4 linked regions of the Styela clava genome follow. The protein of the gene in region 1 purifies or fractionates together with the protein of each later gene. This does not show direct contact. Links are inferred from orthologs where the notes say so. Each region holds a gene or a part of one and is shown on either strand. Other genes may lie near its edges.

The links.
Region 2: the proteins of cyclin-F-like (region 1) and TAR DNA-binding protein 43-like purify together in Homo sapiens (affinity purification with western blotting; 3 studies listed by BioGRID, with this or other methods). This does not show direct contact. The link is inferred for Styela clava from reciprocal best matches to the Homo sapiens genes CCNF and TARDBP.
Region 3: the proteins of cyclin-F-like (region 1) and nucleolar and spindle-associated protein 1-B-like purify together in Homo sapiens (affinity purification with mass spectrometry; 3 studies listed by BioGRID, with this or other methods). This does not show direct contact. The link is inferred for Styela clava from reciprocal best matches to the Homo sapiens genes CCNF and NUSAP1.
Region 4: the proteins of cyclin-F-like (region 1) and cell division control protein 6 homolog purify together in Homo sapiens (affinity purification with western blotting; 4 studies listed by BioGRID and IntAct, with this or other methods). This does not show direct contact. The link is inferred for Styela clava from reciprocal best matches to the Homo sapiens genes CCNF and CDC6.

The regions. Positions count from the first base shown.
Region 1 is NC_135251.1:14,285,112-14,292,617, forward strand, and holds the start of cyclin-F-like, read right to left. Parts: upstream 3,023-7,506; 5' UTR 2,833-3,022; coding exon 658-2,832; 3' UTR 1-657. Other genes in the region: uncharacterized protein LOC120335464, read right to left, coding at 4,804-4,868, 5,833-6,141, 6,246-6,385, 7,029-7,076, 7,474-7,506. UniProt on the Homo sapiens protein: Substrate recognition component of a SCF (SKP1-CUL1-F-box protein) E3 ubiquitin-protein ligase complex which mediates the ubiquitination and subsequent proteasomal degradation of target proteins.
Region 2 is NC_135253.1:15,480,560-15,487,570, forward strand, and holds the start of TAR DNA-binding protein 43-like, read right to left. Parts: upstream 3,011-7,011; 5' UTR 2,879-3,010; coding exon 2,749-2,878; intron 2,173-2,748; coding exon 2,032-2,172; intron 1,546-2,031; coding exon 1,385-1,545; intron 1-1,384. Other genes in the region: short transient receptor potential channel 5-like, read right to left, coding at 5,704-6,013. UniProt on the Homo sapiens protein: RNA-binding protein that is involved in various steps of RNA biogenesis and processing.
Region 3 is NC_135251.1:26,346,277-26,353,581, forward strand, and holds the start of nucleolar and spindle-associated protein 1-B-like, read left to right. Parts: upstream 1-4,281; 5' UTR 4,282-4,403; coding exon 4,404-4,487; intron 4,488-4,659; coding exon 4,660-4,767; intron 4,768-5,051; coding exon 5,052-5,132; intron 5,133-5,290; coding exon 5,291-5,383; intron 5,384-6,063; coding exon 6,064-6,234; intron 6,235-6,633; coding exon 6,634-6,760; intron 6,761-6,970; coding exon 6,971-7,103; intron 7,104-7,178; coding exon 7,179-7,305. UniProt on the Homo sapiens protein: Microtubule-associated protein with the capacity to bundle and stabilize microtubules. May associate with chromosomes and promote the organization of mitotic spindle microtubules around them.
Region 4 is NC_135250.1:4,966,335-4,974,183, reverse strand, and holds the start of cell division control protein 6 homolog, read left to right. Parts: upstream 1-4,830; 5' UTR 4,831-4,947; coding exon 4,948-5,152; intron 5,153-5,617; coding exon 5,618-6,086; intron 6,087-6,248; coding exon 6,249-6,586; intron 6,587-7,124; coding exon 7,125-7,324; intron 7,325-7,849. UniProt on the Homo sapiens protein: Involved in the initiation of DNA replication. Also participates in checkpoint controls that ensure DNA replication is completed before mitosis is initiated.

The sequences.
Region 1 (7,506 bases):
AGAGTTCAAGGACCAATTATAAACAATGTTGCAAAAAAACATACCGTATACATTGCAAAAAGAAAGCTTAGTAACTATCATAAATGTTCTTATGATATAATTGGCAAACAAATGCACATTCATTACATACAAAAGACACTACAATGTAAAGAATGACTGTTTAATGAAAGAAGAAAAAAAAGAAACTAACAATAATAATAGGTATGAAGGAGAAAACATTTCATTTTGAGATTGAAAAATTTCATTCGAAGAAAAAAATAACACAGAAGTTGAATAAAACAACGGGAAGTACAAAATGATGAGCACAAAAAAATGGCTCAAATCTCACGCCAACATATTAAATGCATTAAAAATATAGCAATATATAAATTGGCAATTGGCATGTTGTTTAGATATAATTCAAATATTAAAAAGGTCCATAGAAACAGAAATGTATAGGCTATTCATATTTGTGTGTATTGAGATTTTAATTCTATTGAATTTAATATTTAGACATCCTTTCATATTGCTATATTTCTGGTCTGACTGCGCGATAACTCTGGACAGTTTGATGAATATGATAATTCACTTCAAATACAGATATTACAGAAAAACAAACGCCAATTCATATTGAAGTTCATATTTAATGGACAATTTCAAGAAACCTTTCAATTGAAATTACATTCTCATTCGAGGTGATCTAGAACTCCTTGATTTAGACAATTTCACATTATTAGTTCTTTCTTTTATACCATTTATTTTAGCAGATTTCTCTTTATAAACAGCTTCATTTGCATTATATGGTGAAATTTTATTGGCACAGGGTACTGATAACCTATTTTCTTTATCATTAACTGTCATGCAAGGCTTAGATTTATCCATACTTCGCTTTTTGGGTAACAATTTAGTGATTTTGCTTTTAGAACTAGAGGTTGCTGGCAAATTTTCTGCAGATTTCGATTCAGCAAGACGATTAGCTGTAATTCTTTTCCTTGTTTTTGTATCTGTTCTCATCAAATACGCTGATGATAACGTCGGTGGAGTGTCTGTCTCAAGATCGGACTCTTCTGAAGATTCAATTTCATCTTCTTCTGTAGACATCACTAAATCAAAATAGTCCAATTTTTCAGATTCTGGAGTTGAATCTATATGATCTTCTTTTAATTTTACTTCTGAGGAAATAGTTACAGAATGACTGCAACATGGAGTGTTGATACATTCCGGTGAATCATATTCACAAGTAATTTGCATATAAGAAATAAGTTGTTCGTGTGTGACAAGTTGCGTTCTTTTGATTGGGCCATACCGACATTGACTATATCGTTCTTCTACTGCGTCAAGTTTTCTGTTTCTAAAATCAGTCGGTGGTTCTTTATCCAAACATTTCTCATGAATTTCAACTGCGGTTGGAAATAATTCTCCTAAAGTATATCCAGATAGTTTTAATAGTTTTGAAGGCCATGGATTGCTGGGGTTTGCAGTAAAATTTGCAAGAAATACTGCAGCAGCAGCAGAAATTCCAGGAGGGAGACTCACAATGTCAACATGAAGTAAACTAGCATCTGCAATGAATCTTGCAATATCCTGACTTTTTCTGTCAAGAGTATTTGAATTTAAGAATATTGATAGATAATCATACATTGTCATTTCTTTAATATTTCCATTTAACGTTGCAACAACGTCTTCAATCATTTGCACGAGCTCGTTATATTTATACGTTGAATCAGTCAGCCAAACTGCTTCTCGAATTGTCAAGACATCTCTTTCCATGTATCTGGTGCAGATTACCATGCAAGCTATTCCTAAAAGTTGAAGACGTGATCTTGATACTTGTCGTAATAACAAATATCTATCAACACATCTGACAGTTGTATGTAACATTTCACTGCCGAAATCTTTCATTGTTGCTACTTCAATTAACCAGTCAACAAGGATGTATCTCATACTACCGGTTACATTTTCTTGATACTTTGGTATCTGATTAATTTGCTTTAATGAAGATTTTTGAATTATATTTTTTGTGTAATCTAGTGCAACCTCCATTGGCAATCCCCCATAATTTCCCATTGCATATAATCGACATAACTGCATTTGTGCAGGCTTATATCCAGCAGCGGCAATTTTCCTTAATTTTCGAATCAATGATAATCGAAGTCCAGGACTTCTTGATGAAACGAAGCTTTCTATGGAAGAAAAACCTTCAATATCTTCAAGTTCCATGCACCATAATTCATGCATTGCATTAGGAAGACCGACATCAGCTGCACGTTGAAACCATTGTTTTGCAGATTGACGCTTCTCTAAATCATCATCAAATAACTGCAATACTTTCCCAATGCAATATAACAAATTAGGATGATTATTACCATCATCAACTGCTTTTGATAATTGTTTGAAAACAAAAGCTTTTCGGCAAACAGAAGCAGCAGACCACGGTGGACGAATGAAGACCCAAGTTATTGGCAATTTGAGTCGGCTATTTTGCTCCATTTCACAAAAATATTTAGCTGCTATTAAACTGTTTTGTTGACGAACACGGGCGGAATCAACTAATCCATCAAAATATAAATGTGCAAATCCAAGTTTAATACTGGCTTCAAGGTTACCTTTTGATGCAAGCCAAGCGAGTGCTTTGCTATTTTCAGCATTCAAAAAAATATCCGGTAATGTGATATTTTGTAGAAGACCAGGTGCTTCATTTTTGATGAGATTTTCAAAATACTTCGAAACTTTCAGCAGCTGAATAAGATCCTTATAAGGAAGTTTTTGTAGAATCATAACTTGAACATCTTTCGGTAAATCCATTATTCCATTTCTATTCTTTTGATGATCAAGTTTGCAAGTAAATTCCATGTCTAAGTGCCTTTTTTCAACTCCAGAACTTGGTCCCCTTAGCTTGGTAGATGAATATTTTCTTGGTAACAATTAGACACTGACTAACCTATCACAGAATTTGACTAAAACCCTAATACCTAGCGCCTACAACAGCATAACCAACAGATGGCGAAAGATTGTGGATGACGACGCTCATAAAGCGAACTGTAAACAAAAGAAAACGTTCAAAAGCTAGATAATCAATGATGCATGACGACAAGCAATTAATTTATTTCTAGCGGTTGAATTCTTCGTCGCCTTCTTTATCAAGTCGATAGCCCTCCGGCATTGGTCAGTTTCTAAAAATCTTTCAAGTATTTTTGATCTAACCGACCTTTCTATGAAACGGGAGTTACCGACATTATCTCAACATTCTCATAAACTTGTTGATAATAAATGAAGCACAACCGGTGTTAGCAAATGTTGTGCTTCATTTATTATTAACATGAGTTTACCTGGTGGCAATCATGCATTATTCCCATAAACTTGTTCGGAACAAAGTGCCTGGATTTTTGAGAACGCGTTCATTTAAAAACACTGGCGATTATCAGTCGCGTGGGTGCTAACAAATTGTCTGATTTGGGAACTTCGAAGGTGCACGACACGCGAAGGTAATGTGCGAACTCGGAACTTGCGGTGCAAAACAAAAGTACTTCACAGGGTTGTAAAACAGTTTGATAGCTGTCGCCCAGTGTGATATGTCGCGAATTCCGATTCCAGCTGATATTTGTCTGAGCATGCGATCATCCATACGGTTCAATATTTTATGATGGAAATTAAGAACGACGATGTATTGTTATGAATACAATTCGCTTGGCTATACTTTATGAAATACAATCACCTTATCTATACTATAACTCAATAAAAGCAGTGCAGTTGACCTTCATTCAGCGCAGTAGCCTTCATTTTCACGCAGTAGCCTACCAAAATTTTCCGCTAGTCAAGGGTCAATATAATGTAGCTAGCTTGAAAATCAATCAAAAAAGCCAAATATTGGAGATAAATTTGTTGAATTTTGAAAATGCTTCACAATTACCTTGATGAGAAGTTTCCAACAGCGATGAACTTGTGATAATATTAAGCAATAATCTTCCAAATATCGGGGTAACAATTATAACGCGTGCGTGTAATTGAGAACTAATCAATAAATTAGCACAACAGGTTGAAAAAAATAATCGCGCGACATATGCGTGAAAATTATCACATGCACCATATGTCTCACTGTCGTGATATCTGGTAATACTCTCTGAACTTTTCCCCGTCTAAATACAACCGAAAATAGTGCAAATAAAGACCGTAGGTTGCAATAAATTTGTACCTCTTTATATTGGAGATAATTCCAACCAACGCTTTTATTTGAAAAAAGAGTTTTCCAATGGTATTACCGAATTATATGTATATTTTTCAAATATTTTCTCATATTTAGTCTTCATATTTGTCTCCCCAAAAAGTTTTGAACCCACATATAAATATATATAAATAGCGGTATTTAAATAATAATATCAACAAATGGTGTTTTTTAGGCATATGTTACTTATAATATTGCTTTTTAAAAAATAAACACCGACACAAATATATTTCTGTGACGTTTCTTCAGACCGATGTCAGACTTACACATACATATTTCAGCTGTAAATACATTTGCATCAGTGTGCAGCAAGTCTGACTTAGAATAGTTATCTTCATTCTTGATATAGCATCCTTGCATTATATGCATAAGGATCCAGTGACGCAAAGGCATTGAATGAGAATAAGTCCCACGGAATACCAATTGATAGCAAAAGTTAGCAGGTATGCTGAAAAATTAGTTCAAAAATGAGCGAAAAATATCCTTTATCGAGCCAACACAGTTCGGATTCAAGCTAATGGCTGACGCCAATTCAGGCAGTCACAACACCATTAAAGATATGAGTGATCGAAAATACATTGACATATTTTTTGCTGAAAATATCAAGCATTATCGGGTTCCTTTCTTTTTCTATGTCGTTTATGTCCATGGTGGCGATGCGATTTACCTGTAAAAATAATTTGAAGTATTTTTAAATTCAACACGGTTCTATTTATTCTGCCTAACATAGCAAAACTCCGTATGACTATAACTAATAATAGCTCACAGTGTTTATTTTTTTTTTTCAACCAAAGAGTAAAGACCTGATGTAGGCGCTCAATTTTGTCTTATGCGCTCATTAGTATAGTGTATAATACGCAACTCGTTATATATGAATGTGTTTGCTGGATAGTGGAATGAGGTTCATTTCATTTCTTTGACCCCAAAACTACTAAGTCCACGTGATCTCTTCGTGGTATTTCAAATCAAATCGGTGCGCTCTCTTGGCCACGGCCAACGATGTATCTTATAGTTTAATGCTACCGTATCTTATTTGTGAACCAATCGTTCATATACGTCGGACCTACGCATCAATTCTATGGTTTTCCTGTCGGTGAAATAAACGGAATATTTCAATCCGAATAAGAATCTGAGCAATCATTTGCTTTATTGCAGTGGTCGGCGAAGTTCTTAAGCGCGGCCCAAATAGTGAAATGAAAATCGTTTCAAGGCCCAACAACCACCTCGTTCGTGACAGCCTTGTTAGCCTCGGTCAAGATTTCGTTGGAAACTTAAGATTCAACCACGTAATAAACTTGTTAAGGAAAATTTAATTAAATATATACGGTATGTATGCAATGTTGGATTTATGGAAATTTTTCGTGTATCATTGCCCATAATCAAAATTTACTGAAGGCTCACTAGAAAATGCTCGGCGGCCCACAGTTTGACGAGCACTGTTCAATTGGTATCAGTTTGTATTTTAATAAAATTAAGCGAACATTTCTTCCAATTTTTTACGACGGTTATTAACGCATTTCGAACAAGGCCCTATGAGGCAGCTACTAATATCTAACAATATTCTACAATTATTTAGAAGCATCGAGACGTTTCCGGTTCGGCATTGTCTACCCAACTTATTTAACACTAACCATGTGATTCATCTTTCTCTTTCTTATCTTCAGATTGTTCTTTATTTCTTTCCTGCTCTTTATCTTTATGTTTCTTTTTCTTTGGTTTCCTACTGGTATCATCGTTTTCTTGCGTTTCTTTGTCTTCATCTTCTTTTTCCTCTTCGCCTTCCTCTTTTTCCTCCTCCTCTTCTTCATCTTTTTCGCCATCTTCCTTAGACTTCTTTGATTTTGCAACATAAAACCCTGAGGCTCCGACCACAACAAAAAACAGAAAACCGAGAATTCCAGCTATCACGTTACCAGCACTGCTACATCCAGAACTCGGACCTTGGGAAAATTACAAAATTTTGCACTTATGTAACGATATCTATTCCATAAAATCATTTACTATTTATATTTAAAATGACTAATTCTGAACCTGCACAACTCACCAGTGACAGTTATATCTGGCGAACTTCCGGGATTTTCTTCTGCCTCTATCAGTAACGAACTCGACATTTCACACGATGCACTTCGACTTAGAACCTGGACAATGCTGGACGAACCCACACTCGCGATAGCATCTATAAAACTAAAGAAAAGGATTGTCTCAAAATGTCGTGTCCCTCAGTTGCCACAATTGTCACACATGTCACGCACTTGGCCCAATTGTATGAATCTCGATTCACATGAGTAATCTAACCTTGTACCAAGGCATTCTATCTATCTTAACCGGGAACATATGAAAATTTCTCATATACATACTTTACCCATTCTCCCCACAATATATAGACTATCTACCTTAAGTCAGAACAGTGAAACAAATACAGCAACATGTGCGAAAAGGGGGACAAGTGAGTCACGACACCGCTAAAAGAAATAAAAATTCCAGAGCATTTGTGAAACGAAATCAAAATTCAATCAAAGTATGTTTGGGAGGTTTGAAACAGCTCCTTGGGGAGAAAAAACCTTTGTGATATATATAATACAGGACATGACTGGTCAATCTATCAAATGATTTGGGCAGTTTCGATTAAAAAAGGCAATCCGATAAACAAAGTATTCGCATAAATCTATTACACAAAGGTAGCATCTAAAGATTCCGTTACTTAACATGCGCAGCAGCTTCAGTGACAGAAAACACAGGTATGGCAAAGTTCATAAAAATGTCCCTCAACACGATAACTGATACAACTAAGCATTAACCAATTTGAAATATATGTACATTTACATACCCCGTTGGCTTATCTTTAGAAGTAGGCGTCGAAGTAACAACAAAGAAACTAAAAAAAAAAAAAAAAGAAACAATCTACTACAAAGATATCTTGACTTTCTCGCTAGGAAAACTTGAATGACACACTAACTATATGAATACAAGGTGGCGACATACAAAAAGAATTATTGCAATAAAAACTTGATATATACATGCTTACTCTTGCTGATATTCGGTTGCATTCGTTGATTAGAAACAAGGGAATGAACCAGCACTACGTCGCTCTCATTTTGCCAAAATGTGACAATGTTGCGTCTTAGCACCACTCAAGGAGTGAGTAGACGCTATGACTCAAAATTAATATTCCTAAATAACATATATCGATATTGAACTCTTAACCTAGCATAAAATTAGGAGTCCTGTGGGACCTAGGGCATATCGTACAAAAATCGTCAAAAGCTAAATACCTGTACGACCATTCCGATTTTATTTCATAGTTT
Region 2 (7,011 bases), on another chromosome or scaffold:
AGAAGATCATTAAGGTTTTATTGACATAATTATCAAAATATAACTGAATCACAAAAAATTATACACCATACCTCATTCATAATGATCTGATTGTTGATCATTTCACCAGACATTCAATAAGCTTCAGTCGATAACAACTACAATGATCAAGTCCAAACAACTCTTCAATCAATTGTATAACTGACATCTCACTTCATATTTTACAACACAGCAATCCCAGGACAATCGATACCATTTATCATGTGATACCCCAGACATACACCCAAAATTTGATGTGAAAATAGGCTTTGGTATTCTATGATAAATGCTATTCAAAAAAATCAGGTGCAGTCAAGATCCCAGGCAATCCCATAAAACTCTCAAGTTGGAGAATGAAAATTTTGTTATGAGAAAGATGGCTCAAATTTCTACAAACAACTTTTGAATGATCATCATACAGGGCACACTTCTGGTTGCTTCAGATATAGGCTACACTAACTGGCATCCGTTCTATATTTTACTCATAAATTTCATTGTTTGTTATCACAACATGAATGCTGAAAAAGTCTTGTGATGATCAATCATATCCAGGGATGGGCATTTTCGTGATGATTTCAGATACAAACGAATATTTTCTTGAATATTCGGAACTTGGAAGATATATGAATGTATGTGACTTTTTATTGTGATGGGTCCTCCAAACACATAAATTACTGAAAACATGAAATCCATCACTCAGACATTTTGCTGAAAGTTCACACACAATGAGAAAAATGTTTCATCAATATCTCACAAAAAAGAAAAGAGTCATATGTCCAAATTACATCATAAAACTATAGCTTCAAGACAAAAACTGAGGAATCCACCTCGACCTTTGTGTGGCCAAATAAAATAAAAAAGATGACGGGGATACAACATTTTCTGCTGAACCGATTCAAATAATGTTCAACTCTAATCATATCTTCAGTCAATTTAGCAAATCAAATTGCCTCATATACTGTTATATCAATCCAGCAAAAACATATTTCTGACTCTTCCATACAAACTAACCTACAAACAATGTCTTCATCACACAATGCCCAGTTAGAATAAAGCAATTTACCAAAATGTTAAAAATACTTCAGAAATGCAACTATATCCTAGTTACAAAACAAAAAAGACACACATTTTCTGTAAAAAAATATTCTGAAAAAAAATACTGCAAATATTTCATTAGGACTCATAATAGCACTCATATACCGAAACAAAATAATCAATCGCAAAATATAAACAGATAATCTGCAGTACAAAAACATCATACAAATAGAAATATACAAGCATCAGCAGTACCTATATGAAATATACTAATATATGTACATAGCACATCATACACTCAAAACAAAAATTTTACTGAAAAAATACCCACTTGTGCCAAAACTAATTCACCAAATTGTCCAAAATATTGTTTCAAATCGTTGACAGATGTTTCCCAAGGTAATCCCATAACAATTAGGTCCGAGCATTTTTGTGCCGGCCTTTTACTGCGGATTCCTTGACTTTCAGTGTCATCCATCTTTCGTTTATTATCTGCCAAATTGAAGGAAATTTTCACAAAAATTATTGTGTATTGGAAAATTGAACAAGATGTCTAAAAAGTGAAACCAACATGGCATTGGTAATTGAAATAAGAGCAAAGGGGTGTATTTTGTGCAATAAATCAGGTCTTGCCAACCAGAATAGTATAGTATTGATTGAACATGCAAACAACTGAAAATTGAAACTATATCAATATAACATAAAACAGTATACTACCAACTTTTCCTATATCATATTAAATGGCTTGCATAATTGTATTTCTAGCAATGTTCTAGTGACAATATACATGCTACGGGCTGTCAAATAGGACCAAAAAAAGGTAAGCAATGAAAATATTAATTATCTTCTTGAACCCCATGGCTAGCAGTTCAATGCATGATTCAGTAAGTAGTAATTTTAACAGAAAAATTTATAGCACAAGTTAGTTATCAGTCTTGGTACTACACAGAATACTGAATTCCTTTTCTATTAATTTACCTTTTGGATAAACAACAATATAAAGTTGTGATCCCCACGAACCATCTGGTGGATGAAATGTACCTTCAACCAATCGCACTCCCCTCATTGTTTGAGTGTCAGCATTTCTATACTTGAGACCGCATGCCCCAGCAAATTGGGCTGAAAAATAGAGAAAAACAGCAAGTTAAATAAAAAGAGACAAATTTGGAAAACACTGTTGTATCGATGGTTTTGGATGGTGTAGTCAGATGGGAGTTAGGATTGACATGTGAAAAAATTATTATGATACACCCACTAGAAGTACAGAAGTAGACTAGATTAGGCACAAAACTACACGAGACCCGAGTTGAGTTTAGTGTTACCTGTACGGTACCGTACCGGTACCGTGATTTCATTAATGTAATTGAGTAATTACAGAATTAAGGCTGACAGGCTTAAAAGTTAGTCACTTCAGCACTTTGTGCACATATTATATGTTTTTATTTTTTTTCATCTTCCGTCTACAACATGAAAATACTGAACACAAAATAAAAAACAAAGACAAGGGCAACGAAAAGATCGGGAAAATGAGCAAAACCTAGAGAAAAGTTTAAAGCGAACGCTGCAAGCGTTTGTGCCCATTTATCGGTCAGTGATTTCCTACTGAATTGAGTACCGTACTTAACAAAATATTTATCCAGTAGCTACTGCTTTATCTTTTTAAATAACGGCATTACGGGTATTTTTATCTTTTACCTGTAACGCTGGACAATAGCATGGTGCCATCTGATTCTCCTGGAATTTCTATAGCCTCCTCATTTTCGTCATCAGCTATTCGTATATATATTTCCTGCTTTATGTTGTAATTCCTTTGTGAGACAGACATGCTTGTTAAGTATTTCGCGGCCTCGAACACTGCGAGATTCTTAAGGCAAAACAGTACACTTTCACTAATTCCAGAACTCGCGTTTCTCTGTCTCTGAAGAGTCTCAATTTCAACAATTCCACTGAAAAGAGACGAAAAACTCGTCGGCGCCATGTGGTGTCAGTATTGAGCATTCCTATTACCTGCTAATTTTTTGGGTGATCGGATGGAACCTTTCCCCGAGCATCGTATTCCTTGTTTACTTCGTGACATTGGCCAATCAGCAAAATGCAAAAAGTGACGTAACAATGCTCCCTTTTCGCATCCGCTCAGACCCCTTTCTCACTCAGACCGATTTCCAAGCGTGGTCGTAAACATTACCTCGTTTTCGCGTTTTTGAACTCTATTCGTTAGTTTTCAGTTGTGTTTCGGAAACTTAAATATAAATCAGATATTTCAATGATCACTCTCTTTTCCTAGAAGTTTTAATTTTTTAATTGCAGTAATTAAAAATCAGTGTGGAAATAGCTGTGATAGACTAGGCTAAAATTATTTACCTGTACTTTTAAAAAACAGATTGTTGTATGCGATCAATCATAATGATGGTTCAAAACACATACCTCATTTTACAGGCGCCAACTCACAAAAGTACTCTTAAAATAGCCTGGAAATTTTGCAATGGTAAAGTATAAGAAGAATTTTTTGGGGGTCAAAGGTCGGGGAAAGGTCCATTGAGAAATATACCGTAGGTTTTTACTCAGTGGACGCTACCTTCTGGCTACTACTATAAATAATCTCAATGATTGCTATCAAAATTATTTTGACCATATTTGTAATTGTGACTTGCTAACTGACCGCTTTTATTTTTACCGGCGTAATATACGCATAGAAAATAGGAAGGTGTTTAAAATATGATAAATCATTTTAAAATTTCTTGACATTGATTAAAAGACTTGAACAGATACATTCGAAATATTCATATTTGGTACAACAACAACAGTTTATATCATTCAAACTTCATTCTAAGTGACCATTACTTGTCAACCATTACTGTCAGTCGTCTTAACTTTTTGTGCAACAGCTGCCAAATGCATTTTTAACATTACCAACAACGACATCACAACATCGACAACTTTTTTTGTATACCTTGCTTGGTATGCAATCGCAATTTTTTTGTGGATTCAGAAGAAAGTAGAATTACAGCGGAAATTTGGGAGCAGGAGATTGCCAGGTTAGTCCATCCACTGGCGTCAGTAACCATAGTTCCCGAAAAAGCGCATAAGGTTGACGAACTTTTTACAAACACTCTCTGCTAATACCGTTACCCAACCACTTTCAGCATTGGTAGGATAATTCTAATACTGAAAATGGTTGTTTTTTGATAGGGTCAACGATCATACGTCATGAAATGAAATGTAAGATAAAACAAAAAAACCTTCTCGTGCCGTCCAAGATAGTTTGGTCATTATTTACGTGATATTCATTATCCTACATTCGCAAAACCTAAAACCTAGCCTTTTTTTCATCAACAACTACCATTGGAAACACATTTCTACAACACAACTAATGTATGTTTTCTTGGACGTAATCTCGACAATATGAAACTTCAGTAGATATTTTTATTAAAAGTGCAATCTCAAAGAAAAACAACAAAATCATGCTGGTTAACATAGGCGACAGAACCCATAAAATATCAAGGAAACAAAGATACAGTATAAGATGGCAAAGTAAATCCTGAGACGTTGAATAGCGCAGAAAATTTGTTGACAAAACGATCGTTCTGATCTCAGTCAAAAAGTGCAAAATTATGAAAGCAACGCAGGGTCTGCTACATAAGGTTTTACCGTCATTGATTGTTTATTTTGTATACATAATATGTGGCTACTGTGGACAAGGAAAACATTTAGTAAAAATAGGCTTGTAAGTTATAATAAAGCAAACCAATAGCTTTTAGCTAGATTGCAATCCCACGAAAATGTTAACATTTTTCAGAAACAGGCCATGTTTAGAGTATGCAACGGACCTTGGAGATGGCAAGACTTAAAATTTCATTTGTTGACTGGTGTATTTGACAATAGCTCGTAGCTACAAAGAAAATGGGAGAAAGGCAATATACTCAAGTATAAATCGGTACTCCCGTAGCATGTGAAGCAAGATGGCGGACACCGGTACGTCGTATGTGTACCAGGTTAGGGTTAGACCATAATTTCCGGTACAAATACTACGGAAGTCACTTGGCTAGTCCCCAAACTCGTAATAGAACTAAAATAAGGAAAATTGGAATAAAATTATGGCCTGGTTCACATACTACGTTCCGGTGTCCGCCATCTTGGTTCACATACTTCGGGAGTACCCCAAAAATTAATAAACCCAATTTATTTATAAATATACTCCACTCATTTATATGACAAGAAGTGAAAAAAAACAGTGCAACAAAGATAGAAATCAATTACAGATAAGTTCATTTTTACAAATGCTAACGAAATACAAAAATATTATTATACACTGGAAATCTGATAATAGGAAAACATGGAATTCCTAATATAGTAAATAAGCTGTCCAGTGAGAATAAATTCCATTTTGGAATTAGGACTAAGATTAGAGCCAATATATTTATATACTCTTTTCGTTCGAAATTTATCTTTTTGCCCGTTACTTTTCTTTTAGTGCTTGTACGTGACGGGCGGTCAAACGCTTCGTCTCGCAAATTTGCTTTACTCCTTTGTTGAAAGCTGTGGTGTCAACATGTCCCGACTCCCACCGTGATGTGTATTCAGTCTCATCATCATGACCTTCAAAAGTACATGATTAGTGGAAATAGGCGCAAATAGAATGGTTGTACCGCCTCATATATTTGCTGTTTGTTGATCATCTGGATGAACTCCATTCGCTTTTAGGTATCTTCTGACGCATTTCCTAAGGGTGACGTCATAGCGAGAATACTTTTCTTCTGTCGCTGCACTACCAGGTGACCAATGCTCTTTGTATCCTTCTCCACTTGCACGAGACTCTGGACTGCCATTTTTCTGTAGCATTCCTGCTTTGTGATGCGCCTTAGCGTCGTTTCGTCTTCCGTATTGATTCATTGGTATATTCGCTTGATATGCCCGTTCAGGATGTCTGCTAACATCTTCTGTACTTCTGCACAGAATACACCTAAGAAATTGCAAAAATGCCGACATAAATAAAAGTTTGGGACATAATGGTACATCAAAAACTCACCATGGCATCATTTTGTGGAGTGATGTTGTATGTATGTTATTGACACACTCTCAGTTTTACTTTTCATACCCCTTTCAACACAGTTATTTGTTGCAAATTTGTGGACTTTGATGGCGGAGCAACCCTTGTGCACCACCTGTTGGAGGGATGCAGGGACTCGAGATGTACCGATACCATTTTTGTCGTCGATACCGATCCGATATCAGCTAAAAACGCCGATACCGATATCAATGCGTCGATATTTGGAAAGGCCGATATTGCCGATACCGATATTCCGATTCTATGTAATTATTACTTAAGTGTGTAGGGCAGACGAGTTAAAACAATAGTCTTCGAGCATCATTAATAGTGCACATAATTTTGGATCAAATAAGAGAAATATCATATATATATATATATATATATAGAAATTGATGTTTGGGATCCAAATGCGTTGATTGATTCAAAGCATTGAGCACTGGCACTAGTAATCTTGGTGTCCAATTAGAAAACTAATAGAATTTCGCTATACTGTTGGTGGTAAAATGCATAAATGTTTAGCCTGCTTATCGTATATGAAACTGATACATTGAGTTACGTGCGCGGGATTTTGTGCCAATATAACGTTGTATTTTATATTTTACACATCGGAAAATCCGGGGGGGACGTACATGGCTCATAGTTCACGATCTATCCAAGCAAAAAATAATTTAAACATCAGTATTCTAACCTATTTTTTTAAAACACCTTGGATAATATGGAGAAGCTGAATATATATCGGAAATATCGGTCTAAATTTAGCCGATACCGAAAAATTGGCAGATATTGTCGATTCCGATACCCGATACATCGGTACATCTCTAGTAGGGACATCACTGCAACCATTAATAAGTAATCATATAATATTATCATTTTTTTTTTTCAATGACAGAAACTTTTTCTTTCAGATATTT
Region 3 (7,305 bases), about 12 Mb from region 1:
TCACAAACAGCTGGATTGAAAAAGGGAGAAAAAAGGAAGAGAAAGACTCGAAAAATATAATTTTTCATTAATGACTATTAAATATGTAGACCTTGATAGAGTCGGCCCTTGACACAATTCGTTAATATGCCTAAGCAATAAACTTATTTTAATTGCATCAAGACATATACTAGCTTTTTTTCTCAGATATGCATGGCTATATTAAAAATGTAGTAGATGACATAGCCATTTTAGTAGGGACATAGCGGAAATAGCCATTTTAGTAGGGACATAGCCATTTTAGTAGGAAAATATCGGAGTCGCAATTTTAGATGGGACATAGCCATTTTAGTACGGACATAGTCATTTTAGTAGGAAAATATTGGAGTCGCAATTTTAGATGGGACATAGCCATTTTAGTGGGACATAGCCGTTTTAGTAGGAACATAGCGGACATAGTCATTTTAGTAGGAACATAGCGGACATAGTCAGAAAATATCGGAGTCGCAATTTTAGATGGGACATAGCCATTTTAGTAGGGATATAGCGGACATAGCCATTTTAGTAGGGACATAGTCATTTTAGTAGGAAAATATCGGAGTCGCAGTTTCAGATGGGACATAGCCATTTTAGTAGGGACATAGCCATTTTAGTAGAGACATAGCCATTTTAGTAGGGACATAGTCATTTTATTAGAAAAATATCGGAGTCGCAATTTTAGATGGGACATAGCCATTTTAGTAGGGACATAGCGGACATAGTCATTTTAGTAGGGACATAGTCATTTTAGTAGGAAAATATCGGAGTCGCAATTTTAGATGGGACATAGCCATTTTAGTAGGAAAATATCGGAGTCGCAATTTTAGATGGGACATAGCCATTTTAGTAGGGACATAGCGGACATAGCCATTTTAGTAGGGACATAGTCATTTTAGTAGGAAAATATCGGAGTCGCAATTTTAGATGGGACATAGCCATTTTAGTAGGGACATAGCCATTTTAGTAGGGACATAGCGGACATAGTCATTTTAGTAGGAAAATATCGGAGTCGCAATTTTAGATGGGACATAGCCATTTTAGTAGGGAAATAGCGGACATAGTCATTTTAGTAGGAAAATATCGGAGTCGCAATTTTAGATGGGACATAGCCATTTTAGTAGGGACATAGCGGACATAGTCATTTTAGTAGGGACATAGTCATTTTAGTAGGAAAATATCGGAGTCGCAATTTTAGATGGGACATAGCCATTTTAGTAGGGATATAGCGGACATAGCCATTTTAGTAAGGACATAGCGGACATAGTCATTTTAGTAGGAAAATATCGGAGTCGCAATTTTAGATGGGACATAGCCATTTTAGTAGGGACATAGCCGTTTTAGTGGGAAAATATCGGAGTCGCAATTTTAGATGGGACATAGCCATTTTAGTAGGGACATAGCCGTTTTAGTAGGAACATAGCGGACATAGTCATTTTAGTAGGAAAATATCGGAGTCGCAATTTTAGATGGGACATAGCCATTTTAGTAGGGATATAGCGGACATAGCCATTTTAGTAGGGACATAGTCATTTTAGTAGGGACATAGCGGACATAGTCATTTTAGTAGGAAAATATCGGAGTCGCAATTTTAGATGGGACATAGCCATTTTAGTAGGGACATAGCCATTTTAGTAGGGACATAGCGGACATAGTCATTTTAGTAGGAAAATATCGGAGTCGCAATTCTAGATGGGACATAGCCATTTTAGTAGGGACATAGCCATTTTAGTAGGGACATAGCGGACATATGGGACATAGCCATTTTATAACTACCCGGTACCGGTACCGTATACAAATTTTGCAGAGTTTTTCGAATATCTTCAGTCGTTTTTGATATCATAGATTTCAAATGTTTAAGCCAGTTTATATATAATCTGAATTAATTTTAGCAACACCGCACGGAAAATATCACAATTCTCATGATCATTAGAGCGTAACCATTGCACTAACCAATCATTCATCCGCGCGCTGTGCTTTGAATGCTTGTGGCTTTGTTGATATTTGGCTTTGGGGGTCGGGAGGTTTTGCTGGTTCCGTTAATTCTGCCATTGCAGCATTAGGATAGGATAGGATTTACATATTTATCCCGGGGGAGAGGAAAGCCGATAAGACGGCTTATCCATATGGCGAACCACGGCCTCTCGTCCGGTTACCATTCCAAGTCGGGTATGGGATTAGATTTACTGTATTGTTTGTTTTCGGAAGCATGGACTTGGTGGTGGAGGAAGCCGTAACCGACCAGCGGTTACGTGAACCACCCAACGACGGCGAGGAGTCCAGCAATCCTCTCGCACATAACCATCTCTGTCTGGGATTCGAACCTGCGAACCCACGCAGAGTAGTTAGAGGTGCGGTGGCGATCGTATTCCTAACGCTTAGCCCGTTGAGCCACACCGCCGCGCATTGCAAATGCAACACGAATTTTACTACATAACTTGAGCAATTGGAACACAGATTTATCATGGAATGTAAAGATAAATAGGAATGTAACTTGAATCCTATCAATGTCAGCATTTTGCATCTGATACCGTCAGACCGTACGGGCGTACGGTACAGCCGTAGACTAGTGCTGTAGTGATCCCGGTAAGTTAGATTGGTTAATAATATTAACTACAGAACTATATTAATAATACTGTAGTATAGGGCAGTAGGGGTGGATTTGCATATTAAAATAGAGTAAAAGCAATAACACGGCTCAATCATATGATATGGTGAAACACGGCCTGACGGCCTCTCATCTCCGATTTCAGGATTACCAATCCTGCAATCCATGTCCGGTACCAGTAGGTAGGTAGCCTAGTTAGGGTTTGCTTTTAAATGGGAAATTTTGACTATATTGGATAAAATGAATTATAAGAACATTAACAACTACGGTATGTTAATGCAGTAATGCCCATTCAAAAGTAAAAATGTGCGGAGTCATTTAAACACAAAACTCCAAATACATAAAAACCAAAGTGCATGAGAATAGTCACCACATTTAAAGACATCAATTTTAGTAATGAATAGAAACCCCGGGTCTCGTGTAGTTTCATACCTAACGTACTTCTAGTGGGCGTAGCATTAGCATATTATTTTATTATGTCACTGTGACATCGTAGTGACATAATTTTTGGATGGCGTAATCAGGTGGGGGTTAGGATTAACATATGCAAAAATTGTTATGATACGCTCACTAGAAGTACTTTAGGTACGAAACTACACTAGACCCCAAACCCCCCTATACGAGACAGTACGGACCTTCATATCGGCAAACCGACACTAGAAATAAACTAAAAGGAAGCGCAATCTAAAAACATCACCATTTAGTACGGCTCCTCATACAGCTCCTCATTGTCTCATTTCAGAGAATCCCATTTTGGCGATGAACAAACACTTCTTCTTTAAGTTGCACAAAAAACTACAAAGAAGTGCAATCTAAAAACATCATCATTGAATTCCTCAGGAAAAAATAATCCAAGTCACAAACGGAAAAATATTCTACCGTGGCATTCGTGAATTTAAAGCAAAAAGCGGCAATTTTGGTCACATGACTGCTGCAATTAATTTATATCATTATTGAGACAAACATGATGCGATATGACGTATCTGCTGTTGTACAGACACCCATCATTTGTGAGACACATGGAGTGTCTATTTTATCATTGAAGCAAATGACAGGACATTCTTGGAATTTAGAAAGTGTGCTGTACTGCCATTGAATTCCTTAGAAAAAATAATCCGATTCACTGAAGAACAGAAGGATAAATTATTTTACTGTTGCATTTGAGAGTTTTAAGCAAATAACCCCAATTTTATCGTGTGATGGGCCATGCACGCTATGATTGACTTAAATTATTATTGAGACAAGCATGGCGCGATCTAACGCATATGCTGTCACGCCAGACTCCGTCGTTTCAGAGACAAATAGAGTGTTATTTAACCAAATGTCAGTGTATTGCGGCCCCATTATAACAGAGAATAGTTTAGTGTACAAGACCTTGTTTGCCTATGTCACAATTGTTTGACTCGACAGAACACAGAGGTCTGATATTGATCGCCAATTTATTCAAAAAACTTGCAAAATAGGTTATGATAAGTTTTGCTTTGGCAAAAAAATTACCAACATTGGCTATTCAGGAGTATACTACAGGAAATGGATCTGTATAAAAAAAGTCTAAACTTAAATTTGCATGTATGAGAGCGAATAAACACTATTGTGTTTCATTTATTTAAACCACAGTTGGATTATTATACAAAAGAAATAGAATCAATATAATGTTTCTGTAAGAAATTTATTCACTTGTTTTTAGCTTACTTATTGTAGGCATATTTTTGAGTTTATTAAACACTGTCGTTTTTGGATTCTGGACGATTTATCAATCATCCTTCAAAGTCCAGTAGTCATGTTGTCCTCAGATTTAAAGTCAATGAAAAGAGCTGAATTACAGAAGCTGGCTAAAAAACATGGAATAAAAGCAAATTTGAAGGTAATTTGTTTATTCTTATCGCTTGTTATCATAATCCAAATGATAATTTATTTTATAGTATCTGTGATAAGCCCTTAAAATGAAAAACAATCAAAATTTATTCATGATAATTGGTGATTTCAATTTTAGATTATATTTTTATACCAATAATTACTTTTTTTTTATTTTGCAGACTGATGGAATTATTGCAGCGTTGCAGTCAGTATTCGATGCAGAAAAAGAAAATGCAAAAACACCTGATACTTCACTGGTAGCACAATCAAAAACACCAGTTAATGTGGTATAACATTATGACAAAGTTAATTTGAGTTCGTTTTCGTGTCATGTTCAATGTATTTCTTTTTAGCATTAGCCTTTATGGTCTTAATGACATTATCAAATTGTGTTTATATTAATAATAGGATGGGACTGATATTTATCTTGCATTCTCTGCAGGATTATTTGCAAAATATAAAGATTTATAAGATATTTCCATCTCTCTAATATATCTTAATGAAGTGCATTACTGTATTACCATAACCTATGAGTATTGTTGTGTTATATTTTATTATTTTTCTATTTTAGTTTCCAACTCCGCCATTAGACGAAGCAGAAGATTTGTTCTCAGTCAAACCACCATGGAATAATAGCGACTTAATGTCTTTTGTGAGAACAGTTTATTATATTTTTCTTTCATCAGAAAAACACGATATTGTGTAATTATTAATCATAATTTGGTTCTATTTTTCTAGGTTATCTAGGTTTTTATATTTAATTTTCGAATCAAATGCAACTGCAACTATACAGTCTATGTGTCTTCACAGGACTCTACCCCAGAACAAGATAGCAAGAATGACAAATCTTTGGAAGCAATTCCTGAAACTGGAACAAGAACAAGAAGTTCATCTGGGAAGAGGGTGAGATTACTTGTTTGTATTATTTTCTTTTTCAATCACAGTTGTACCCTTAAATGCCAACTATCCAATAAACTTTTCCAAGGATGTCAAAAACGAATCAAATATTCAGATCATTCCGAATGTTTTGGCAAGGAACTGTGCTGTATGACTATTCATCAGTAAACAAGGGATATTCATATAGTCTTTTATAGAAATTAGGGCGCTCCAGAAGTGTGTGTACCAACATGGGGGTAACTAATTTTGTTCGCCTACTTTACATCAAGTTGTGTAAAGAGACGGAAGCTAGGCTATGGGCACGGGCAATATTCACTTTACTAACACAGACAGTCTCCGAACTTGTAATAGAACCAAAATAACGAAAAACTGAATAAAATTATTGTAACTTAACTGGTACACACACTACGGGTGTGTCGAAATTAGAGCTATCTTTTGAAATTTTAGACTGTTTTTGCATAATTTACCATATTTTTACAAGTTTTTAAGATTGAAATTTATCGGAGAAGAAAGATCTTGATTGCCTGGAAGGGGACATTTTTATTCCAAACCTCATTTTTCAAATTTCAGTTTACTTTGTGTAATAAATAACCAATATAAAATTAGAATAACAGCTAATATTTTGCTCTCTCTGAATATGATTTTGGAGCTTCCAAGATATATTTTATGTATTCTTTTTGTCCTAGACCCCCAAAATAGCTAATGAATCGAAAGATTTTGCAACAAAGACATACAGCGTTGAAAGGGTTAAAACAAAATCAAGAACCGGTCGATCAAACAAAGTTGCTCCCACTTCTGGCAAGAAAACAGCTAAAGTTTTGAAGCGTCGATCTTCAAATGCAGTTGAAACCATACAGGTTAGGTCGTTTTCTGGAACAAGGTATTGACACTTGACAGTCATCGACCTATCATGCAATTGTTTATGAAGTGTTTTACATTTGTTAACCAGCAAGTATCAGGTTTTGCATTACCTACTACTAAATTTATTACCCATCAATGTGTTATTTTGAAAATAGGATGGGAATAAGATATGCTGACTTGTCATATGATATAATTATAAACACACTTTTTATTAAAAAAAATTTAATTAGAACTAATTTTTGCAATAAAAATGTATTCGAAATTTCAATGTTTCCCCGTTTGTTTCAAAACCTGTGGAATACTAAATATGACGTTAGAGTATTTTATCGAATATAGTTCTTTTTATTGACTGATGTACATTCTAGTTTTAAACCATTTTATATATAATCCAAAAGGCTAAAAAACCGAGGAAGAGTGGATCAAATACTGACCAAGAATCTGTAGATGAAAAAAGTGAAGCAATCGACATTGATCTTCAGAATGAAATTATGAATGAAATAAGAAAAAAAATTGATGCAACAGGTATGCATGAGCCTTCCTCTCACATCTCGACTCATTCCACATGTGCATAACAAGGTGTTATATTATATGCATATAGTAGCCTACTATGGAAAAAGGCCATTAAAATTTTATATGGCTCTTTGCTGTTTTTTATAACATATTATCCCCATTATTTTGAGAACTTCCATGCCGCACCGACACAAAGTTCTGTTTTTTTGTTCAATTAACCAGATGAAAAAAGTAAATATGGTGGCAGTGATTCTTTTGCAAGTAGAATTCCAAGATTTACTGCATCAGGTGTTACTATCGGAACAAGCAAGCCTATTACACCTGGAAATAAAGACTGGAATAAACTACACAATAAGTAGGTGTCATATCTGAATTTATATATATTGTACGCAATCTAATATCAATTCTTGAATTTAAAATTCTATTTTAGAAAATTCGATAAACTGGAATCCATTGATGATTATGAGCGAAGAAAAAAAGTGCGAGCAGAAAGATTACTCGGTTCCAACAAGAAAAACAATGCAAGTCTGAGCAAACTGGCACAACCAGTGAAAAGG
Region 4 (7,849 bases), on another chromosome or scaffold:
ATAATAGGGGTGTGTATCTTGTTAATTTTGATAATACTTAGCAACTCTCACCATACATAAAGCAGAACAAGCAATTTTTAATATTTTATTCAGAGTTTTCCTGCAAAGAGGTTCAAAATACCAGAAACCTGGTTTTGTGAAGTATTCTCGATTTAATTTATTAATGGACCTCCCAGGACGCTATCATAAGCATGCTAACATATGAGTTCTAACTACAGAGCCCCAACACACAATTATAAAATGATTTTATATCAGATGGTTAATGTTCCCAGAGTAGTGAAAACTAGCAATTATCTTTTCATAATAAATTCTCAGTTGCAACTCAATCGCTAATCCCCATTCGTGAACAGATAATCCAGATTATTGTTTTCTTTCATTTCTGTAACTAGTATAAAGATAACATAGCTAGCTGCTTGTTCACAGATATTAAAACATTAAGAGTAAAAACTCGTCTCATTCAATCAGATGCTCTTTCATTTCACTACCACTCTTACTGTGTGCAATCACAACACTGTTTTAATTGGAAGAAATAATAATTATTTTGCTGCTTTATTGTTGAATATATTTTTCATACTTCATCATTAATACAAATCAGATAATTGGTACATCTGTGTGTCTTTATCTACTCAGTTGGAGATATGACCCTGATGCCTATATTGATTTTTCCAAAAGTTGGGAAATTGGCGCAATGAAAATTCTCTGCCTTAGACAAAAAAATAATGAGTAGTCAGTCAGTGGTTAGTTGTCAAGTGTGTTCCTAGCGTTTAGTTGTGCCAGCTTTCGAAAATTTAGGTCATGCGTTTAGGGCAGGGTCTTGTTTCAATTTTCTTCTGAAAAATAACACTAGGGCTTATTTTCGAGGGATGGCTTATATTTTAATTTATCAAAAACAAAATTACAAAGTGAAGAAATACGAGATTTTCAAAGATACAAATTCAAGAATCACTTTTTAAATTCAACCTAGGTCTTATTTTCAGGGAAACACGGTATTAGATTTCTTTAAGAGTTTTGTCCTCGATAATTAGCATTGGTTTTTCGCGTCTGTCTTCACCCAGGAATGTGATATTTTTAGTTTATTCTTACATTCTGGTTCATTTCTACCACGATGGAAAAATAATCTTCTGCTTACTGGTATCATTCACCATTTAAATCCGTACCTCTGCTACGATTTTTTTAGAACCCCCGGAGCCAGACAATGTATTTATCTATCTGATTTTTCAATCTTATCACTACTTGACAACGAGAGACCGAGCAAATGGCGTCTTAATTCATATTTCAGATGATTCCATATTACTGGCGTGCCGCCGTATCGGATACCCCGAAAAACAATTGAGAAACATGAATTCAAATGCCGGTTATGGATTAAAAATGGATGTGATAATCAAATGTATACAATGGCAGGTGCAAGGGGCCAGATTAGGGCTAGAGTGATAAGAAGTGAAAAGGGGGCATGGCGCGTTAATCGCTCCGTGAAAGCGTGATCGTTTAATCCGTTATCGTTATCCACGAAGTTCTTAATTATAATTTCCTTTTAAGATGTTTGCAGGGAAAATCGGTTAGGATGAGACGAATGAATGGGAATGGAATATAATCTTATTCTTCATAGCCTCAGTAGCTTCGCAGAGATCAGACCCCAAAGATTTATATTATATTGTCGCATCAATGTCATTGAAGATTTTCGCGCTAAGAAAAGAGGCAACGGCATTGGATTGAATATTCTATTTTAGACATGAAATGCTTCTAATTGAAGGAAATATGATTTTCAAACCGTGCCAATAACCGAAACACTGAGTATCTTTCAAGATTTTAAGATTGATGTATTTTATTGTCGAAGAAAACCTTTGGACGGCTAAAATTTCAGAAAAGCACGAAAATAACCCGTTTAATAATGATTTTTGTAAATCAACTTAATTTCTCGCAAAATCCTTTCAAAACGCTTTCATAAAGCTAACAAAGTGACTTGAACGTCAACGCAGACGACACGACGATGTAAATGAGAGAAGCAGCTGGGCAAGTTAATTATGATGTCATCGATCAGCTGATTTTGTCCCGCTTCTCGATGAAGCATGCGGCGGGAAAAACGAAACGAGAGCGGGAACAACTAACGCTCTCTCGTGTTTCTAAAGCTTTTTACTTTTTTTTTTAACTTTGCAATCATTAGTAGGTTTGTGATTTAGGCGTTAGCTCATCTTTTCTATCGCCGTATTTTGGTCTTAGAGCAGTGTTAGCATCTGATATAATTTTACTTCTGTTTGGGTTTTACTGATGTTTAAATTAGGATTCATATTTTTGATATAATGCTCTCTCAATTTTTATATTCGTCATTGCGTATACCAGTGCTATCATTACTGCATTATCTTCCGATCCTCTAATTGCAGAATTGGGAGTTTGTCACTTTCGCCTGTAGATTATGCATGTTACCGTGTCTTGTAACGTTTAACATATCTCGGTGTTTTGTAGCGTTTTCTATTCCCTGTTAATAATCTTCATTGACATTATTTATTATTGCAATCATTACTGTGTTAGTCTGTTGGTAAGGCTGTAAGGAGACACTTTCTGACTTTGGCCAGTTGGCGATTGCATTACTACGGTAGCCTAGATCAGTGATTCCCAAAGTGGGCGATATCGCCCCCCAGTGGGCGAAAACGATACACAGGGGGCGAAAAAGTCTAAGGGGGCGATAGGGGGGCGATTTCGCGAAACCTGTTTCATGTTCGGCGCACTTCATTCTGTACTCTGTGTGCATTGGCAGGCTTGAATCATGTGGGCGATATTCACACGCGAATGGATTTCTGGTCTCGTCTTCGCAGTAAGGTAAGGTAGTTTGCGTATCCCAGTGGTCGGCAAAATACGGCCGGAGTAAAATAATCTGGCCCTGGACGATTCACTGAATGGACCTTTCCCCGACCTTTGACTGCGGAAAATTCTTCCCATACTTTACCATTTTAAAAGTTTCGGGGCTTATTTTAAGAGTGGTTTCGCGAGTTGTTGCCTTTAAAATGGGGTATTTGTTTCAAACTATCATTCTAATACACACCATTCAACAATCTGTTTTTTAAAAGTACCGATAAAGAATTTTAGCCTAGTCTATCACAGCTATTTCTACACTAATTTTTGATTGCTGTATTTAAACTGAAACTCATGGAAAGGCAAAGTAATCATTGACTTATTTGTAAAAACTAACGAATATAGGCTAATTCAAAAATGCGAAAATGAGGTAGTGTTCACGACCACGCCTGAAAATCTGTCTGAGTGAGAGTGTCTGAGCGCCTGAGCGGATGCGAAAGGGGGAATTGTTCCCTTTTTTGCATCTTGCTGATTGGCCAATGTCACGAAGTAAACAAGGAAGTCTATGCCCGGAGAAAAATATCCAAACGGCGGTTGTGACGATAAAATTTTTTTATTTATAATATACGCTCGAGGAGTAAATTACTTTTTTTTACGTAACAGAATTTATCGTGAGACACGTTTAGACTAAATTATACTATATCCTAACAATCTAGTGAACAGCCACTCGTTTAACGAGCCTACAATGTAATTATAATTAGACAAATGGAAACACGCAGAAAAGTTGATGCCGAGTGCAGGGGTTCAATAGCGCAGTAAATATTCGAATATATTGCGAAGCAATAAGAAAATAAAATTCATATTCTAATCGAGAGATTCATCACTGCTTAATTTTTGTAAGAATGTAATTTCTTAGAGAGAAAATATTTATCAAAATTTCACAAATCATGCGAAAATATTCACTTCGATGTTTGGAAGTATATATTTGTGCAAATCATTATTTTCGAAAATGAACATTACAAAGAACAAGCAAAGAAGTGGGTTTGGTGGTGCCCATTTAGAAAATGTTTCTATCTTGGCGTCGTAAAGTTATCCAGCGTGATGCAGCAACGAGACAGTGTCACATTAAATATCATTGTAATATTTTTTTAATAAGACGACTGAGTTGAGTTCACGAATTGTCGCAGTTTTTGCGTGCTGTTCCGTTTTTAACTTCCAAAAAATATATGCGACCCGCAAAAGACTAGCAACCCTGAATTTTGTCCTGCGAGCGACATAAAATTTGCCGACCCCTGGGCCGTAGCCGATAGTCAGTCACGGCTTCTTCCACATCCGAGTCAATGAATCAAAAACAAATGGCTGGTTAATTGTGGAATGGTGATCGGTCTGGAGGCCGTGATAGGATGAGGAATCAGGGATGAATTTTTCCGAAATATTTTGGTGCAGGTCATCAGGCTGTACGAATGAATGAGATGTACGAAAATCATTATTATAAGTTTGGGAAAATTAACTTTGTTTTTATTATTTTAATGTGAAATGGGGTGAATTTAGAAAGTGAAATGCTATAAGGCAAGAGTACACGGCGGTTTTTGAGGTGGTAGAACCCTGGATTCTTTCATTTTCGATCTATTTTATGGTGAAAAAGGGGTTTTCAGCCGTGCTACTATTGCTATTAAAACAACGAAATCACCTTTCCATCAGTAAACGAGGTAATTTTAGATATAATAAATAACTCGCTGAAGAACACCAAGCTCATCAATTTCATTAAAAAACACCATAAACTATTATTTGTCTTCTTATTTGGTCTGTAATATATTCGTTTCCGACTTTATATTTTTTTGTAGTGCAGGGGGGCGATGAAGTTGCATATACTACTTTAGGGGGGCGATGGTCAAAAAAGTTTGGGAACCACTGGCCTAGATCATTCTGTCATTAGATACTGTAAAGACTGAAAGAGGTGGCAGTTTGGATTTGATTGACAGGTTGAACTGTAATTTTATTCCAGGTTTATTTTAGGACTAGTAAAATTGTTTTATTGTCAAAATTTTTATTCTTCAGTCTTTTTAGATTTTACTAAAGTTCAATTTTAAGTTCAAAATTTTGGGTTCATTTTATGAGTTATTATCTTGCACCAATTCTATATCAAAACACAACTGCACTATGGCTACGCAAGGTATCATACCATTTCCGTGTCGAAAACCAAGATCTTTGGCATCCAAGCTGAATTCTACCTCTCCGTATAAATCACCAAAAAATCAGGAGAATGTTAGAAGAACATTGATGTCTATTTCCAACATTCAAAATGACAATAATCCATGCATCCGATCCATAATGCCACAACCACGATCACCAAGAAAAAGATTGGGTTGGCTCTATTTCTGTATTTACTAGTTTTATTAATTTAGTGCTAAATATTGTTTGTAAAATCATTTGGTCATATAGTATTAACCTAGAATTTCTAAACTAGAAATTGAATCTCTAAATAATGAAATAAGCATAACACTATAAACACTGCGAAAGTAATGGAGAATTTTCCGTGTTTTATTGGTCCTGCTTGCCTGTTGAATAAAAACTTTGCATCTCAGCTATGTATTGTTATATTGTGTAAAGTTTCATAGTGTTATTTCAAAGATTTGTTGGTTTGAAGGTTCAAATCTAGAATATATTCAGTTTTGTATATCCTATTCAAATTATCAGACTGTTATTTCTGTAGTTATTCACACATGTGCTGATCAGTTGACTGTAAAATGAGTCAAGATGAACGTAGCTAAGTTGTCTCCAACCATAATTAGCTTGTGATTAATTTTTTTAGTTTGTCCCACTTTTACAGGCGATTCAACAAACACAACGGAAGGTTGGACAAATGATGATTTTTTGAATGAACTATTCAAACTCTCACCCTGCTCTCCAGTGAAACAAAGAAAAGAAATTGTTGATAAAACGCAACAAACATCGAAAACTCCGACCAAATCAGTTTCGAGATCTTGTGATTTTCAATCTCCCACAAGAGCGATTCTTTCTCCTATACGAGCATTATCACTGAATTCACCATGTAGAAAAACTCAGATCAACGACAAAAATGTGAAATCTAAAACGGCCAAAGTTTTGCAATTAAAACTTGCAAGAATAGAGGCACCTGGGGATGATCAGAAGTTAGCGCCTGATGAAACGCCGACCAAACCTACTCGAAATCGTAAAACTGTGTCAATCAGCGAGAAAAAAAGCAGAATGGCAAAAATTGATAACACTTATGCTACGTCAACAGTTTCGATTAGGAGGGTTACACGTTCAGCAAAAAAGTAAGGAATATAAGGCATTTGTATAGTTAATGATCTGTCAAAATATCCATCGTATATTGAAATGTATGGTTGAAGCAACAGTTTCTCTGAGAGACCAATTTCTTATTATTTAAGAATTAGCAAATTTCCATAAATGAGTTTAAATTTTGTCTTTTATTTCAGAATCCACAAATTGAAACTATTCGAAGAAGATGATTTTAAAGAAAATGAAGATCCGAATGAACTTTCACCTTCGCCTAAAAAGCGACAAAAGCCAGCTTCCGAGAGCAGTAAATACCAAAGAGTCTGCAGGACTTTGCTTCCACCTTCACCTGAAAAACAAAAAGCGAAACGAGCTTTGTCACCTGTGCCGTTGTCACCGAAAAAATTGACTGAACAGATCGTCGCGAAAGCTGTTTCACCAAAAACGAGTCGCAGTCTTGAAAATGCACTGGAAACTCCACCAAAGTTAGCAAGTCCCTCGCGCTCAAGACGAATGTTGGAAATGCATAGACCTGACGGTATATATATTATTTATTTAAATATTCCCTAATATTTTCGGTACCTTCATTCTTTCATACTTTTCTCGTTGTATTGACATGAATCAATCAGTCATTCAATTAGTATTTACTACTGTGCAATAACTCAGCTATAATAAGGTATGTAGCTCCTGGCCCTTTAGTGTTTGCCCGTAAGGAGGTTCAAAGATCTATCACCTTTTTTTCTAATTGAATATGCGAGACATTGCATTGAGCATGAACAAAGATAATGTACAAATTAAAAAACAAGGTCCACTCAATGTGCAATTTGTGTCAAGCTGTAAAGATACAAAATATTATATTTTTATTAAGAATCTTACTGCTTGTTGCAGACTTGTTGCGAGTGCAAATACAAAAACACCCCAGGAAAAAAATTTGGATAACTGCCTTTTCTTGATATATGAACCATAGAAATGAATCATTTTTTTAATAAGAAAGTTTCAATGTTACAAATTCATAATTAAAAAAGTATTTCTTCTTGAATTTTGAGTCTATTTTCTTATGTGTGTCTTCCTTTCAGGTCTTATTTACCAACACACAAAGCGTGCCTTACATTCATCAGTGCCAGATGTTTTAGTTGGTCGAGAAGAGGAAATCCAGAAAATCTCTCAATTCATATCATATGGTGTGACAAATCAGAAGTCTGGTAGTCTTTATATATCTGGTGCTCCCGGAACGGGGAAAAGTGCTTGCTTGATGAAAGTTCTTAACAATGAGAAGGTTGGCAGATGTATGTTTATTTGCCTCAAAATGTAACAGTATCTGTATAATAATCAAACAGTGTAAAAGACTGGATACAGATCAAGACCTTACTGGCCTAAGACACAGATGTGCGACATAACCCCTAAACAGATGGTATTTACATTCGTTCAATTTGTGATGGATGTTTGCTTTATTTTATTGCAATATTCATCCTAACCAGAATTGAATTTTTTGATTTGATACATTGTCTGATTGCTTTATCCATTTTTTATTAAAACTATAGTAATTGTACCGAAACTGGTCATTCAATTTCGAAGTAGAATTTTAATTTTTGCTGTATTGAGCATTGACTTATGATATGAGCAAATTTGTAATTAACTCAAAATTATATAATTTTCATTCTCTTATTCGATAATTACTGTCATGCCCTGATTTTTTAAAACTAGTTCACACTACACAGAGGGAGGAAGCTACATTTCTCCCTTTTCATTACAATTTCCTGTCTTTTGTTATTGTAATGAACTTAACTCTCTCTCTATATAT